Drosophila melanogaster: one gene and its partner. The protein of the gene in region 2 purifies or fractionates together with the protein of the main gene of each other region. This does not show direct contact. Each region holds a gene or a part of one and is shown on either strand. Other genes may lie near its edges.

Evidence for each region.
Region 1: the proteins of ClpX (region 2) and bsf purify together in Drosophila melanogaster (affinity purification with western blotting, with the first as the bait; one study listed by BioGRID). This does not show direct contact.

The regions. Positions count from the first base shown.
Region 1 is NT_033779.5:18,448,850-18,456,239, reverse strand, and holds bsf (bicoid stability factor), read left to right. Parts: upstream 1-1,652; 5' UTR 1,653-1,753; coding exon 1,754-1,893; intron 1,894-2,322; coding exon 2,323-2,848; intron 2,849-2,914; coding exon 2,915-4,223; intron 4,224-4,279; coding exon 4,280-6,001; intron 6,002-6,064; coding exon 6,065-6,606; 3' UTR 6,607-6,723; downstream 6,724-7,390. Other genes in the region: Ntf-2r (nuclear transport factor-2-related), read right to left, coding at 1,081-1,473; ncm (nucampholin), read left to right, coding at 7,386-7,390.
Region 2 is NT_033777.3:19,897,581-19,905,807, forward strand, and holds the start of ClpX (caseinolytic protease chaperone subunit), read right to left. Parts: upstream 6,110-8,227; 5' UTR 5,319-6,109; coding exon 5,261-5,318; intron 4,231-5,260; coding exon 2,852-4,230; intron 2,795-2,851; coding exon 2,645-2,794; intron 2,516-2,644; coding exon 2,294-2,515; intron 2,229-2,293; coding exon 2,034-2,228; coding exon of another isoform or gene 2,016-2,033; exon of another isoform or gene 1,748-2,015; coding exon 1,712-1,747; 3' UTR 1,573-1,711; exon of another isoform or gene 961-1,572; coding exon of another isoform or gene 895-960; intron 832-894; coding exon of another isoform or gene 673-831; intron 615-672; coding exon of another isoform or gene 165-614; intron 72-164; coding exon of another isoform or gene 1-71. Other genes in the region: CG4733 (uncharacterized protein), read left to right, coding at 1-71, 165-614, 673-831, 895-960; Surf6 (surfeit 6), read right to left, coding at 6,180-6,988, 7,043-7,208; RhoGAP92B (Rho GTPase activating protein at 92B), read left to right, coding at 7,731-7,780, 8,051-8,227.

The DNA of each region.
Region 1 (7,390 bases), on a different chromosome or scaffold from region 2:
TCCAATGCACACATACAAAGGGATGGACGAAGGGGGGGGCAGCAATGGCGGAGGGAAGGGGGAGGGCAAGCCGGCCGCTTTTTGCGTGGCAATTTGTTTGTGTGTATTGCAATTTCTGGCTGCACTCTCTCGTTCTCTCTCTCTCTCCTTCTCGTTCTCTCTGTCACACACACACACACACACACACACGGGAATACTTAAGATTTAAGCTACATATTTTTTTTAAAATATATTTCCCCCTTTGTAATGTGCATTTTAATCAATTTTCTCGCTTACCAGTGGCGCAAATAGAGAATGCAACCAGACATCGTTTTTTTTCATTTTTGAGACGGCACACTAGATCGCACCTGTCAAACGCAAGTTATTTCCCCCTGAGGAACACAAGAATCCGTCACAATTTGCAGTGTAGTTACGCACACACATACGCGCTGCCAATACGAGTACACCACAACACGCACACAGCTGCAGCGGGAAGAGGAAGCGCGATTCGCGAACCGCCGTGTGCAACGATACGTTTGCAAATGAAATGCAATTTCCAGTTCCAAATTCGCCACAAAAGAAAGCTACGTCGACGCCGACGTCAACGGCGGCGTCTGCTGCAGAAATGACGCTCCGCAATAGCAGCAAATGAATAGGGAGCATGCAGTTTCTCTTAGTCAGGTGGATTGTTCTCTTTCTTTGCGGTGCATTTACAGCGCACTTTTGGCATTGCAAACACAAAGACAGCTCCGAAAAATTAAGCTAGAATAAAACATGCATCGTATGAAGACTACAAATATTAAAGACTATTGCTTCAAAATTCCAATGTGACCCATTATTTGTGAATTGGGAAAAGATTTGTTTCTATTTTATTTCTCGAAAAAGTTTTCAAAATAAAAGTCCTAAGCTTTTTTTAATTATTTTTTTGTTTGTCTTGTATTAACTTTTGTATTCGCTGACGATCTTGAGACCGTTGGCTGGCTTTGTTTTGCTTTTTTCTGAGTCCCACTGCCGTGCTGTTGTTATCATGTTATCACTATTAGGCGCTGGGCGTCTTTGGATGTCGATTATGTGTGGTGTACATATGGGTCTGGAGTGCTCCTAGGCAGAGTTGTGGATGTTCAGACGGAAGATGTCGTGAGCCACGAAGAGGGATCCTCCGTTGGGCTTCAGCAAAAAGATCTGCGAGAATGCATGTGGGGGATCGTCATCGCATTTTAGTCTTCCAAGGACGATGATCAGAACTCCGCCATCGGAAGTTGGCTGCGAATCCACTGTGGTTATCACTCTGGCAATCTTCTGAAAGCTCAGACTCTGAACTTTTTCCAGAATCTTGGGTGCTCCCTGTATTTGGTTGCCTTCAAAGGTCATGAAAGAGTCGGTAGCGTTATAGAAATTAATCACGTTCTCCCGATTCGCCGGGTCATCGAATATGGCGTAGTACTGCTGGACAAATTCCTTGCCAATGTCCTCGTACTGCAGATTCAGAGACATTTTAGTTCAAGTATATACGGGGTACGATTAGAGTTTCCGATCCGAAAAAAAGCAAATTAAATCGGTTAAGCTGACAGGCTTAGGCACTGTTCAAATATCCTCTCGTTTGTGTCACCGCTAAGCTGATACATTTGATTTGAACGTTTTGGTCCCACCGAAAACAATCGATTGTCGCAGGTAAACATCGATAGGCGCGAAGAGACATCGGTTTCAGCCGCACTCGTGCGAACGTCATTTTAATAATAAGCTCATTTATTAATTAAAACCGAACGATTCCGCCATGGCATCCATCCTGAGGACGGGCAAACTGCTGCGCTACTTCGCCGGCTTCACACGCAATGTGCTGGTGAACTCGGTTCGCGAGAACGAGACGAGCAATCTGCTGAACAATGCGCCCTGCATGTGCGGCCAGTTCCAAAAGTGAGTAAAATCTGGCCCCAAATCGCCGGCATTACGCAATGTGCTCATGTATTTACGTGATTAGTGGGGAATCGTCCACTTTCCAGCGATTGAATCCCGAAAAGAGGCGCACGTGCCGCCACTTGGGATCATCGCAGTTGCATTCGACTGATGTCTCACATATTTACATAACCTCATCCGGATTTGGAGCGCCTACTATGTGCTCATCCAATTTTGGCCTTAGTCGAGCGTTTTTCTTGTAGAAAGTCTAGTTATATATGTAGAAAGAAGCTAAATATCTTATTTTTATTCAAAAAGCAACACGATTATCTTATAACAACTCAGTTTCTCATTAAGGTCAGCCGGAAAATAATCTATAAGGACGTTAGGATTTTGTTAATTCATATATCTTTATATATTAATTAAGTTTATTTTTAATTATCTTCCTAGTGGTTTTGCCACGAATGCGGCGGCCAAAGCTGAGTTGAGTTTGGATAAACAGATTCGCCGGCTGGACCAGGATGTTCGTCGCATTGGGCGCATCTCCAGACGCGATCTGGAGGAGGTGCTCGATGAGATCCGCTCACACAGGACGGCCACCAGCTCGCAATCGCTGCTGGTGATTCGCTGCTGCGGCAACCTGGTACCGGAGGAGCTTCCCGAGGTCAGAACTGCCTTGGTGCAGGAGATCTGGAAGACGCTGAATGCGCTGAATGTACCCATGGACATCTCGCACTACAATGCCCTGCTTCGCGTTTACCTGGAGAACGAGCATGGGTTTGCTCCCACCGATTTTCTGGCAGAGATCGAGGCGAAGGGCATCGAGCCCAATAGGGTGACCTATCAGCGATTGATTGCTCGCTATTGTCAGCAGGGAGACATTGAAGGAGCCACTAGGATTCTGGAATTCATGCGCGCCAAAAGTCTACCCGTCAACGAAAATGTCTTTAATTCACTTATCCTGGGTCACTCGCAGGTTAGTCATACAGAAATAGATAGGTGGTAGCCATGTTTTTAAATTACTTTTTAAACGATTCTTTAGGCCAATGATTTGGAGTCCGCCAAGGGTATCTTGGGAGTGATGATGCAGGCCGGCTTGGAGCCCAGTGCTGACACCTACACCACTCTCCTGTGCGCCTTTGCGCGCCACGGAGACCTGGCTGCCGTAAAGGAAACCCTAGCTGAGTGTGAGCAGAAGGAGATCATTTTGCTGGACAAGGATCTGCTGGACATTGTGTACACTCTTACCGTCAACGGCAATGGTGAACACGTGGATGACGTTCTGACCAAGCTTCGTCTCTCGCCTGGTTTTAATCAGGATGCAGTGAACGTGATCCTTCGGCTGGTCAACAAGGGACACGAGGATGTGGGGCTGAAGCTCCTTCGCGTGATGCCAAGGAGCAGTCGTGTGAACGGTGAGCCCGTTGATGTGGGAGCTTTCTTCATCAGGCAGATGGTTAAGGCCAATCGGCCAGTGGAGAAGATCTTGTCCATCTGCAAGAGCCTGCAATCAGAGGGGCTTAATCCCAAGGCTCTGACTATTGCCACCGAAGCTGGCTTGACCAATGGCGTAATCAATAATGCGCTTCCCTTGCTGCAGGAAATGAAAAATGCTGGCTTGCCCATCAGGCAGCACTACTTCTGGCCTTTGATCTGTTCCGCGGAATCTAATCAAGTCTTGGAAATCGTACGTCGCATGCAGCAGGAGTTCTCAGTTTTCCCCAACTCCGAAACGGTCAGAGATTATGTCATTCCCAACTTGAAGGAAAAGAACTGGGAAAGAATCGTCACCTCTCTGAGGGATGCTGGGGTTCCCAACTCCACTGCTGTCACCTCGGCCGTCTACTCCGCATTAGTGACCCACCAGATTGCCGAAGCAGCCAAGATTATGGAGAAGAACAGAGCTTACTACGTGCCCTTCTTGTTCAAACAACCTTTGATTCTGGCCCTCAGCCATACGAACGATTATGCCTCCTTCATCCGATGTGTCCGCCAAATTCACGAAGGATTGCAATTCAGGCAAGGCAAGGATGAGGAAGTTGAGCAGGTAGAAGGCGTGGCTGCCGTTCCGACGGAGCGCATCACTCCCGATGTTGTAGGTGCAATAGTCCAGGAGGCAACCACCTATTTCCGCCGCGATCGCGGGGCCACGTTGGAGAAAATCCTCAAAGGGTTGGTCAAGCAGGGCTTGTCCATTAGCAGTGACAAAGCCACCCAACTATCCGAGCAGTTGGGTTCCGAACTGACTCCAAAGATTTCCGAACTTCTGGGTAAACTTAGCTCGGGAGAACTGGAGCCAGTTCCTCTTCCAAACAGCGGCAAGAGAAGCCTGGATTCGCTGTCCATCAATGGTAAGTTGTTAGATGTTATTAAAATACTTATCTAATATCTATATATTTTCTTTCAGAACTCGAGCGATTCATTGTGAATGTGGAGGGCAAGGGAGAAAATGCCAACAACATCAAGAGGCAACTCCTCAACGCCTGTTTCCGTTCGCAAAACTTGGAGAAGACCCTCCAGGTCATCGAGAAACTCGAGGCCGAAAAATTCCAAATCCCCGTTGGCATTTATGCCCAGCTCATCGATCTGAACACGCATCACAAGAAAAGCTCTGAGGCCTTAGAAATCTATGGCAAACTTAAAGCAAAGGACGCCACTTTCCAGTTGGATAACTTGAAGGCGGTTCGACTGGCTGATCTTCTCTTGCAAGAGGAACGCGTGGATGCTGCTTTTAAGATACTGGAGGAGAACAAGAAGGAAGTTCCCGTAGCCGAGGCCGAAGGAAGCTATAATTACATGAGCACCGTGTGGAGAATTTTGAACTCACTAGCCGAGGCCGGTCAGCCGGAGAGGCTGCGCAAATTGTTCGACGTACTGGTGGGGGCCAATTATATTGTGCCCACCAATGTGCTGCTGGGTCCACTGATCAAGGTTCACCTGGTCAAGGATGATATTCCCAAGGCAATCGAAGCCTTCGAGGAGATTTGCCAGAAGTATAAGTCCACGCCTTGGAAGAACGAGCTGGCTTGCCGTCTAATACAGAAAGAAGATGCTGCCAATCTGCAAAAGTTAACAGACTTGAGCACTGGAATCCATGGTGAAGTAAACAGCCTTTACGATCTGGTCTTCTCCTTTGTGGAGTGCGGCCGTGTGCGGCAGGCCAGGAAGATCCTGGAAACCCCCGGACTGCGTACCCGTCCGCAAAGAATAAACAGTGCCTGTGATCGTTACAAGAATGAGGGACTACTGCAACCGCTGGAAGGTCTTATTGAAGCCACGAAGGACCTGGGACATATCGACAGGAATAAGATTTACTACACGCTCCTCTTGAGCTACGACAAGGCAGATGAGGCGGAGAAGGCTTTGGGACTGTGGACTAAAATGCAGGAGGAGAATGTGACACCAAACGATGCTTTCCTTTTGAAATTGGCAGAAATCCTGAGTAAGAAAAATATTGACGTGCCTTTTGTGGTGCCAGAGACCCAAAACGAACAAGCCAAGGCCAAAAAAAGCAAAGCGAAAGATGCAACGACAACAGAAGCAGCCACAGAAACAGCTAAAGTAGCAGAACAGCCCAAGGAGAAGGCTGCGAAAAAGGAGCCAGCTAAAACGGAAACAGCAAAGCCACCCAAAACCGCCTCCCATTTGTCCGGCTTCCGCAAGGCAATCCAGGCCAATGATCCAGATGCAGCCATCTCGCATAAACAAAGTGTTCTGAGTGGCGAGAAAATTGGAGCTTTGGACACCTCTCGACTGATCGAGCTCCTGGTTCGAGCTGATCGCTTAACGGAGGCCACCAAGTATGTCGAGGAGCTCCTGGGCGATAAACTGCACCCGCAGCCCAAGATCTTCAAGTTTTACCTGAACAAAATTGCCGCTGCAGGCGATCTGGAAACAATGCAGAGAATTGGCCAGCAGCTGAATGACGAGCAGAAGCGTCTGATTTCCTTTGACAATCGGTTTTGTCATGCCAATATAGTGGCCGGAAAGGCGGAGGAGTTCCTGAAGCACTTGACCACAGAAATCGATGCGGCCAAAACTCCCGAGGAGTCAACCAAGCTGGCTGAGAAGTTCCCACGCGGAGGAGCAGTTGGCATTTTGGAAAAACACCCGGAATTGGTGCCGCAATGTAGGTCCCAGAAATGCCTATTAAACAAGTGTTAAAACTATAAATTTTTCTGATAATTTTCAGATCAATCCCTCGCTGAGAAGTTTGCTGCTCACAATCAACTAGGACCCATGAATGTCCTGTGGATGCATTTGATTTCCACTGGCCAGGAGGCGGCTTCTAAGGAGATTTGGGATAAGCACCTGTCCAATGCCCCAAGGCTGATGTTCCAGCGCGTTTTGCAGACGGCTCGCGAGCAGCAGGACGAGAAGCTCGCCTCCACAGTCATTTCCCAGCTGAAGAACAGCAAAATCTCCGAGGGCGCGATCGGAAACGCGTACTCCTGCCTCATTGACATCCAGACTACCAAGGGCAACTCCGACAAGGCCATGGTTGTCTTGGCCAATGCCATTAAGGACGTATCCTTGGAAAACATCAACAGGACAGCTCTGCTGCGTCTGAAACAGGCGGTGGAGGAGAAATCCCAGAAGTTCCCCTACACGATCCCCGAGAAGCGGACGAAGGCCGACGACTCCAGCTCGTCCTCCTCTTCATCCTCCAGCGACGACGACGTGTCGCCATCGGTACCGGAAACTGTTCCACCCAAACCGGACAGCAAGGCCTAGAGGTTTCTGCAAAAGGTCCTTGTTTAGTGTAGGCCGTCGTGATTAAAGCTTATTTTTAAAGTATTTACTATGGATAAACAATTTGTAAACTAAAATAAATTTAGTTGTTTTGTTGCGAAAGTGCGCCAGTTATTTTTCTAGGGGATTCAACTGAGCGATAAAGGATCTTTTTTACTATTTTCAAGATGAAGCTATCATTTTTAATTTTCAATAAAATAATGGTTCAATTCATTCCCTTAAGACAGATCCTAAAATTAATTGGAAGCACGCATGATGTTGTAAAACACGATTGCCCGTTTTGGAGCCCAAAAATCGCTAAAAAAAAAAAGTTTCGTTTCAAATTTAATGTTCTTGTTCCATATCCTTGTTCCATTTTCGAGCTGATATTCGAAATTTCTGCAGTGCAATGAACCAAATATGTTATAACAAATATATTACACTGTTTTAGTCGTAAAAAAATCGTTGCCCTTAAATATTGAGGTTCGCTGTGCTATAAAATTTACGATAGTGCCATATTATAAAATTAATTTTAAAATATCATTTTTTCTAATGTGGAACTTGAATTTAAATTTTCAGTTCAATTTAAAAAACACATTTAGCATTTCTATAGCTGACTATCGAAACTACAATTTCGATACGATTTAGCAGTCAAACACATGTGTATATCGATACCGTCGCCACTGGTGTCCCATCTCTAATTCTATCGCCGCGTTGTGTTTTTTGCTGCCCAATAATTTTCATCGTTGTTTTCCCTGAAAATTTCTCGAAATAAACGCGCGATGGG
Region 2 (8,227 bases):
TCTATTCGGTAAACCGCAGTTGGAGCGGCAAGATCACAATAGCCGAACTAAAACGATCCGATCTGCTGGAGGTGAGAAAAGTATATCAATGATATATCTGAAAAATATAAATATAACAATGTTGTTGTGAAATACATAATGTACATTTGGAAACCCGCCCACAGATGATCAGTCTGCTGGAGGAAGAAGAGGACATCAATCAGATAATGGCCTTCTTTAGCTACGAGCACTTCTACGTGATTTACTGCAAGTTTTGGGAACTGGACAAGGACCACGACCTGCTGATCAACCAGGAGGATCTGGCCAAGCACAGCGATCATGCCCTGTCATCGCGCATCGTGGAGCGAATCTTCTCGGGATGTGTAACGCGCAGCGATAACAAAAAGGCGCCGGAAGATGAAGCCAAGATGTCCTACACGGACTTTGTGTGGTTCATCCTCTCGGAGGAGGACAAACGGACGCCGACGGCCATCGAGTACTGGTTTAGATGTATGGACGTCGACGGAGATGGAGTGCTGTCCATGTACGAACTGGAATACTTCTACGAGGAGCAGCAGCAAAGGATGGAGGGAATCGGCATTGAGTGCCTGCCTTTCGAGGACTGCCTGTGCCAGGTGAGGATCGGATATTCAATTCCGATTGAAGGAAGATAATCTAATTTTTTTATATTAGATGCTAGATATGATCAAGCCAGCAAATCGGGACTGTATCACGCTGGGCGATTTGAAACGATGCAAAATGACGCACGTCTTCTTCGATACCTTCTTCAATCTGGAGAAGTATCTAGATCACGAACAACGAGATCCGTTTGCCTCACAGCGTGACGAATATGTAAGTGGTACTTAGAATAATTAATTAATATAATTATTAATTATGTTATTATCTATTTCGCAGACCTCCGATTGGGATCGGTTTGCGGCACAGGAATACGAACTGCTCATATCCGAGGAAAACGATTAAGGGTCGCCAAAAGATATTTATTAACTTACAAATTTTTATACAAATTTATATACTACGAGATGAAAAGGAAACGTAAAAACAAACAAAAAGAAGGAACTACCATTAGTCCATTATGTGCAATAAATTCAAATTATTTATTATGAGTTCTGCAGACTTAGTTGAATTTGAATGATGAATAAAATAAAATGAACGAAAACTAAAAATTTAAATTTGCCATGTTATTTACATTAGTAACCCTTGGCGTACAAAAAGCATATCGATTTCTCAAGAAAATTAGCATCCAGCTTTAAATTTTTTCATTTTTTTTTATTTGTTTTTTGTTTTAAAAATGTTTTTTTCAACTTAAATTAGTTAAAGGTAGAACGTGCTTCTCGCTTGTCATCTTTACAACGCTACAAGAACTCATTTAGAAACTCAATTTAGACTATGCAAAAATTTGCCTAAATATACGTTTACGTTTGTATATATAATTGTTATATGCAAAAGAGGTTCCTAGCGCCAATGGACCACATCATTGCCAACATTGCAGATTTCCGATATTTGTGTAATATAATGTTTAAGAAACTGTGGCATTTATTTAAATATCCCTTTAGGATTTGTTGTTCCACTTACAATTGCTTCGGGCTCAAAAGACTGCGCTGCTCGTCGTTTATGAATCACAGATGCATTTGGGGATTGAGGACATTCTTTATAAATGTATACACTCCTCAGCGGTTCATATTTTACAGAGTGATAGGTTCGAGGTAGGGATCTACGACGCACCAATCAATTTACCATTCAAACCAGACTAAAAAATATACATGTTAGAGTGGGCAAATGAAAGTATCATAAGGGTTCAACATTAAATTGTGTTTATGCGAGAAATTAGCGCTGACGATTCGAAATTAAGCAGCTGGACGAGTTTAACAAGCTGAACAGTAGTGGATAGAAGACAAAAGAGTTTGCAAAGAACAAGCAATTCGGAAAGCGTTGCGAATTGAAAGTTTTCTCTTTTGTTCAAGTGTTGTCTCGATTTCTGTTTTGGTTGGCTTTGGATGTGGGTATCTCTGTTTGATTTACTGTTTTAGTCGTACTTTCTCACTATTCTCAAAGTTCTTATCATTATCGGTTGTGGTATCGGAATCCGTGGCAACAGTCCCAGATGCCGCGGCGTCTGCATCGCGGCTGTACTCGGGGGTGGCGCTGCCTTTAACATAGTCGGCGGTTATGTGAACACCCCGAATGTCTGAACCAGGCACTATGAACATGGGATCCAGCAGCAGTTGTTCCTGGATGGGATTATAAACATGTTTTAGGTATATGCCATATGTGTCTCACAAATTCAATATCTTACCATTATAGAGCGCAGTCCACGAGCTCCAGTGTGCCTTTCCATTGCAAGCTGGGCTATCGACTTCACAGCATCCTCGGTGAACGTAAGGTCCACCTCATCAAGACCCAACAGTGCCTTATATTGCGGCACTAGAGCGTTTCGCGGCTCGGTTAGGATGCGCACCAGCATGCTAACGTTCAAACTGTGGAAGGGAACGATAACCGGGAAACGTCCAACGAATTCCTGCACAACAATTTGGGTTTTAAAATAATCAAAATGAGTAACTAATATAATAAAATCTGCTAGCTTATAATTATGTTAATAGTTACAATGTATGTCTACGGAGTTATATTTGAACCTCCGATTACTTACCGGTATCATGCCGAACTCAACGAGATCACGGGCCTGCACTTTGGTCAGGCATTTATCACGCTCTTCCTGGTCGTTGTCCATGGGACTGGCGGCTGATTGAGCTGCACGACGGCCAGATCCGCTGGTCGATGGCATGCCGAAACCCAAATACTTGAAGCATTAAGATGCAATTAGTAAGCGAAGTCTGAGTAACTATCGCTAACTTACCTTTTCGTTGAGACGACGTGCGATAAGCCTGTCCAGTCCTGTGTAGGCACCAGAGGCCACGAAAAGGATATTTGTGGTGTCCACCTGGACCGTTTCGCCACGCAGCTTTCGCGGGGAGTTACGCTCCGGCACGTTGACCACTGTGCCTTCGAGCATTTTCAGCATGCCTTGCTGGACGCCCTCGCCGCCAACGTCACGAAGCTGATGGATTCCGGGGACGGCACCGATTTTGTCCACCTCGTCGAGGAAAACAATGCCCGTCTGTGCGCGCTCTACATTGTAGTTGGCATCTTGCAGAAGCTTTGAAATTACGCTTTCGATGTCCTCGCCCACATAGCCCGCCTGTGTTAACGTGGTGCAGTCGCAAATGGCGAAGGGCACATCCAGGCACTTGGCGATCGTCTGGGCGATCAGCGTCTTACCGGATCCCGTGGGGCCCAACATGATAATGTTACTCTTCTCCAGTTTGACATCGGTGGACTGGCGGTCAAGTATTTCTGATCCGGACCGGTTGTCGCCACCTCCACGCGCATTGCTAGATGATGCGCCGGTTAGTCCTGCTCCAAGTCCAGGTCCTCCCATTCCTCCGCCCATGCCCATTTGAGTCGGCGACTTTGGTGGCAGTTCGTTGCCCGGGGAGCTGTTCAGCGTGTGACCAATACCGGTGATGTGTAGAAGATCGGGCCGAGGAATACCATCTAGGCCGCCACCGGCTCCATTGCTGGCACCCGCTCCCTGGTTTTGCAGTTGCGGCAGATTGTGATGGATGCGCTTATAATGATTGTAGACGGCCACCGCCAGCACCTTTTTGGCAAAATCTTGGCCCACCACGTGTTTGTCCAGATACTCCATGATTTTCTGTGGCGGAGGTGGCGGCTTGCGCTGGTTTTTGGGCTCGTCCTTGGTGCGCTGCTTAGTCTCCACCTCCGAGAGCACCACGAAGAAGTAGTTGCACTTGGCGCACTTAACGAACCGCGTCGAGCTGACAAAGGTCTCAACCTGGGTGCAGGCGCTGCCGCACTTTGGGCACGAGAGGAACTTGTCACTGCCACCGCCTGGCGGATCGGCACCACTGGTCGAACTTGCTCCAGACCCAGCCGCACCGCCGGGGCTCTTCGCTCCACTACCTCCCGACGCACTGGCTCCCCCTTCGCTGCCGCTCCCACTCTCGCTGGAGTCCTCTGGCGTTCTTGAGTGTGCGTTAGTTACATCAATATACGCCGGTATTGCCATCGCGGGCTCCAGTCTCATCAGTCGATTCCTCGCGCAGTTCCGCGTTGCCAGGTGAAAGCGTCGTACGCCACAGTCGCTGTTCTCCGCAGAACCTGCGCTTAGGATAACGCATCTTGCCGAGCCATGTGTTTGACCAGCTCCGCTTCCTGGATATGGAAAGTACATGTATAAGTATTGGAAACTGTTTTTAATGGCATACAAATTTAAATAAAAATTGGAAGTCATCTGAGACCTTTAGCCACTGTGCATGGATTCTAAAGATTTAAATTGTGTCTCGTGCACAAAGCAGACAAAATGGAAGCATCGACCCCATGTGTGGGGTTAATGCTTTCCGAAGCACAGGCAATTGATAACAACAAAGGGAATCCGGGGAACAGAGTCTCTAGATTGGCCCACAAAAACAAACTAACAAGTGGAGGCCAAGGGCAATTAGCATCTTCCGATATCGCAGATGACTCGCACCTTTTTTTCGCAGTAGTGCCAATCAAGCAGGGAATTGATAATGGCTAATCTCGGAATTCACAGGTGCTGTGAATTTGACAGTAGAAAACAATCTCGGCTAGTTTTTTTCAGTGAAATGTGTTGGGTAAACTTCCGGCTCTCGCTTTCCTAACTTGCAGGCCAGCAAATATAATAACCAACTGTGGGCCATTAAAAAAGTGTAAGAAATTGCTCCACTGCAGACATGTAATGATAAAACAAAAAATCATTGCGTCAGAGCGGCAATAGCAGTAATTGCGCTAACTGGCCATTCGGGCCTTATAAAACAATTCAAGTTCAGTTGGTCCAAGAGCCACGCTTGTCTGATTGGAAACGGCAAGGGGGGTGGCCTCCAATCAGATGCGTGTGAGTGCGTGAATGTAAAATCAGTTGGGTGAAACCCCTTTTCAGCGACGCCACTGTGGCCCGTTGACCGCGAGCAGCAGCTTTTTGGTATCAAAAGAAGACGACCTTCATTCAGTGTTTTGGTTGTTTGACACTAGACAAGTGTCAGCGAGCACCGAAGCTAGAAAATTCTGATAAGCCAAATGGCGGGGGGAGCGTTGGGATTACGATGCAGATTGGTAAACTGCAGGCTGTTTTTTAGTTGCCATTGCCAGTTGTTGTCGATTCACGGCTAATGACGCAGTTACGTATGCGATTGGCAGCACAACAACAAGACGGCACAGCACTTACCCTTTGCCCACACACTGTATTTGGGGCCCAGCAGGATAATCCGCCGCACCATGCTCATGGTGGCTGCTGCCCGCCGCCTCTGTGCCTCTGTTCCGTCTACCGCTTCCTCCGCGCCCGCTGCAGTTGCTCCTGGACTCGGATTCCCCTGCGCCCCTGCTTTGCACCGATTTGCTACTCAGCTGGCGGCCGCTTCTTCTTCTTGCTCTGCTGATCTGCAAAGTTATTGTTGTGACTTCTGCTGGGGATGCCTCGCTTTGCAGGGATTGCTTTTCTATATCCACTTGTTGGTTATCCGTCGCTCGCCAAAGTGCGTCGCAATTTGGATGATTTTCCGCCTGCCTTGCTGTATTTTCGGTGGAAAATGGGGGGAATAGATTGCGCTCTGCACGTAATTTTTGTGGCTGTGTGCGTGCGTGTGATTCTCGTTGTTTTGGCTGCCCCACTCGCTCTGCTTCTTCTTGCCAAATCGGTCACTATACTGTATTAAAAGATCCACAAATTTCTAGGGTCTCCAGCATTATCTGATCCACTTTTTGTCTCTTGTAAGTACTCGGAAAATCTGGAAAAATCGCAGCAATCCAACTAAACGATTACGATATCAATCGATTGTTGTTATCGGTCTCAGCTGTTCGCCGTTCTTCTTCTTGCCAATCTTTGGTGAAGCCGCGCAACGCACAGTGGAACACAAAGTGACACAAAGTGGACAAAAACGAGGAGCCAAATAGTGTGGCTTGGAACTGGGAATTTAGCTGTCTACTGGAATTTTGACTGTGTCGAGGCCGGAAAAGTAAATTTCTAACACGAAAGTATAAAAACGTAAATTTCAGAAAGATCACTTTTTTTCTAAAGCATTCTGAGTTGAATTTCAACGTGGCATACATTTACACTACTTTACACTTAAGGGCTATAGTAAGCATAGTTAATAGCCGGGTATGATGCGACCCCTCTTGCTGGCCGTCTTTAGTTTCCGGTTCTTCTTGTCCTTGCTGCGCTTCTCCAGGTTCTCCTGTCGCTTCTTTTGCCTCTTTTCCTTGTCGTGCTCCACCTTCTGCTTGCGTTCAGTCCACTTGGTCTTGGACTTCTTCTTCTCCACGCGCCGCTTCTTGATGGCCTTTTGCAGCAGCTTGGTGTCGTCCTTGACCTTCTTGCCCTCGACCTTGTCGAATGCGTTGCGCCAGGCGATGTCCGTCTGGATCTCCGCCGCCTTGTCCGTTTCGCCCTGTTCGCGCAGTTCGGTTAGGTGCTTCTTGGTGTCGCGCAGCTTCTTCAGAATCTCCTTGGGGTTTTGGTGAGACTTCTTGGCTTTGCCTCCAGGATTGGCGGCAAAGTCCACCTTGGAGTAGACGATCTTGGCCTCCTGGTTGTAAACCGGTTGCACCTTGACCGGCTGGATCTGTTCCTTGCTGTCCTCCGTCTCCTGTTCTGATTTCACCACGCCATTCTTCAGTTTCTGGTGCTTGACGTTCTCGTTTTTGAGGTTTTTGGCCGAGGAGAGGAGCAGTTTCTGGACGCCCTTGCTGCGTTTAAGCTTTTTAGATTCGCGTCGCTTCTGCTGTCGCTCCGTTGTGGGTCCCTTTTTCTGGCGCAGCTTGTTCTTGATGGAGGCAATGCGTGCCTCTACATCCTCGTCGTCGGAGTCTTGGTTTTTCAGTTTTCCCTGTTGTTTCTTTTTCTTGTTTCCCGATTCCTCCGTGTCCGACAGCAGGTACTCTTCGTAGGTCTCCTCATCTGTAGGAAATACGATAAAGTTAAAGATTTAAGGCTTTTCATTAATGGTTTCACCTTCTTGTTTGGAGTAGGGCACTTTGTGAATGGTCAGCAGTTCCAAGACTCGCTGATAGAACTTTTTGGTGATGGCGGGCAGGTCCTCCTTCTCCGGCTTCTGATCCTTGTTGTGTTCGATTTCATACTCCTCCCGCAGACATTTCACGATCTCCGCCTGGGTCATTTTCGAGAGTAAAATAACAATAAAACTATTATTTACGCACGCACACGTGCAGCTAAGCAAGGCGGTCGAGTTCAGTGTGACCCCACAGAATTCGGGTGTTTTCGACAGTGGTTACCCTAGCGCAAATGTCTGGTACCGCTACAAGTAGTAAGGGGTATTCCCCTATTCAGCGAATTTAAGCAATGGTTTCAGATTAAAGGAGATTGAAATTTAATAAACATTAATTAACCATTGCTTAAATTCATAATTCTAGCCTAAGCTCTGAGAAATCTCAACAGGCATTTATCAAACAGTGTTACCAAATACGAACTTTCGAAAAAGGCGCTCTCCAGCCTTTTGTCATTTCCCAGCGCTCCCGCTGCGGTCACACCCGCCTCACTTTTCCGTAAAACATCGTTGAAGAATGACTAATTTGCCTGTTTTAAGTATTTACTCAATGCCCAGCTAATTGCACATCGCAAACAAACACACAGCAGTTCAGTTCAAGTTGGAGACGCGAGCGGCACCAGCGAATCAGCCAAGATGAAGAGGCAGTTTGCCAAAATCAAAATAGCAGCCGAAAATCTGTCAAGGTAAGTTCAAAGGCCAGCCAGTCTGTCGGTCGGATGTCTGTGGGTGTGTGTTTGTGTAAGTGCGCTCCAGGTGGACAGACAGGTGTGTGTTGCCTCATCACGAAAGAAGCAACAGCAGCAGCAGCAACAACAACAAAAGCAGCAGAGAAGCAGCCACAGAGCAACTGCATCAATAACAAAGCGCGATGACAGCCGTAACAATAGTGGACTGCCGATGATGACCTAACCCGTGCTAAACCCGTGTCAAAATGGTCCTTTTCGCATTCGCAGATCGAGCAAGTCGGACAGCAAGGACTCGGAGCTGGAGGCGATCGAGCGGCAGGTGGACAGATACCGGGACACCATCGAGAAGATCGTCCGCAAGCTGCCGGCGCTGAGCGGCGGAGGCGGAAGTGGAAGCGGGAGCAGCGAGGAGCAGGACAAGCGGACCAAGAAGAACAGTCACTA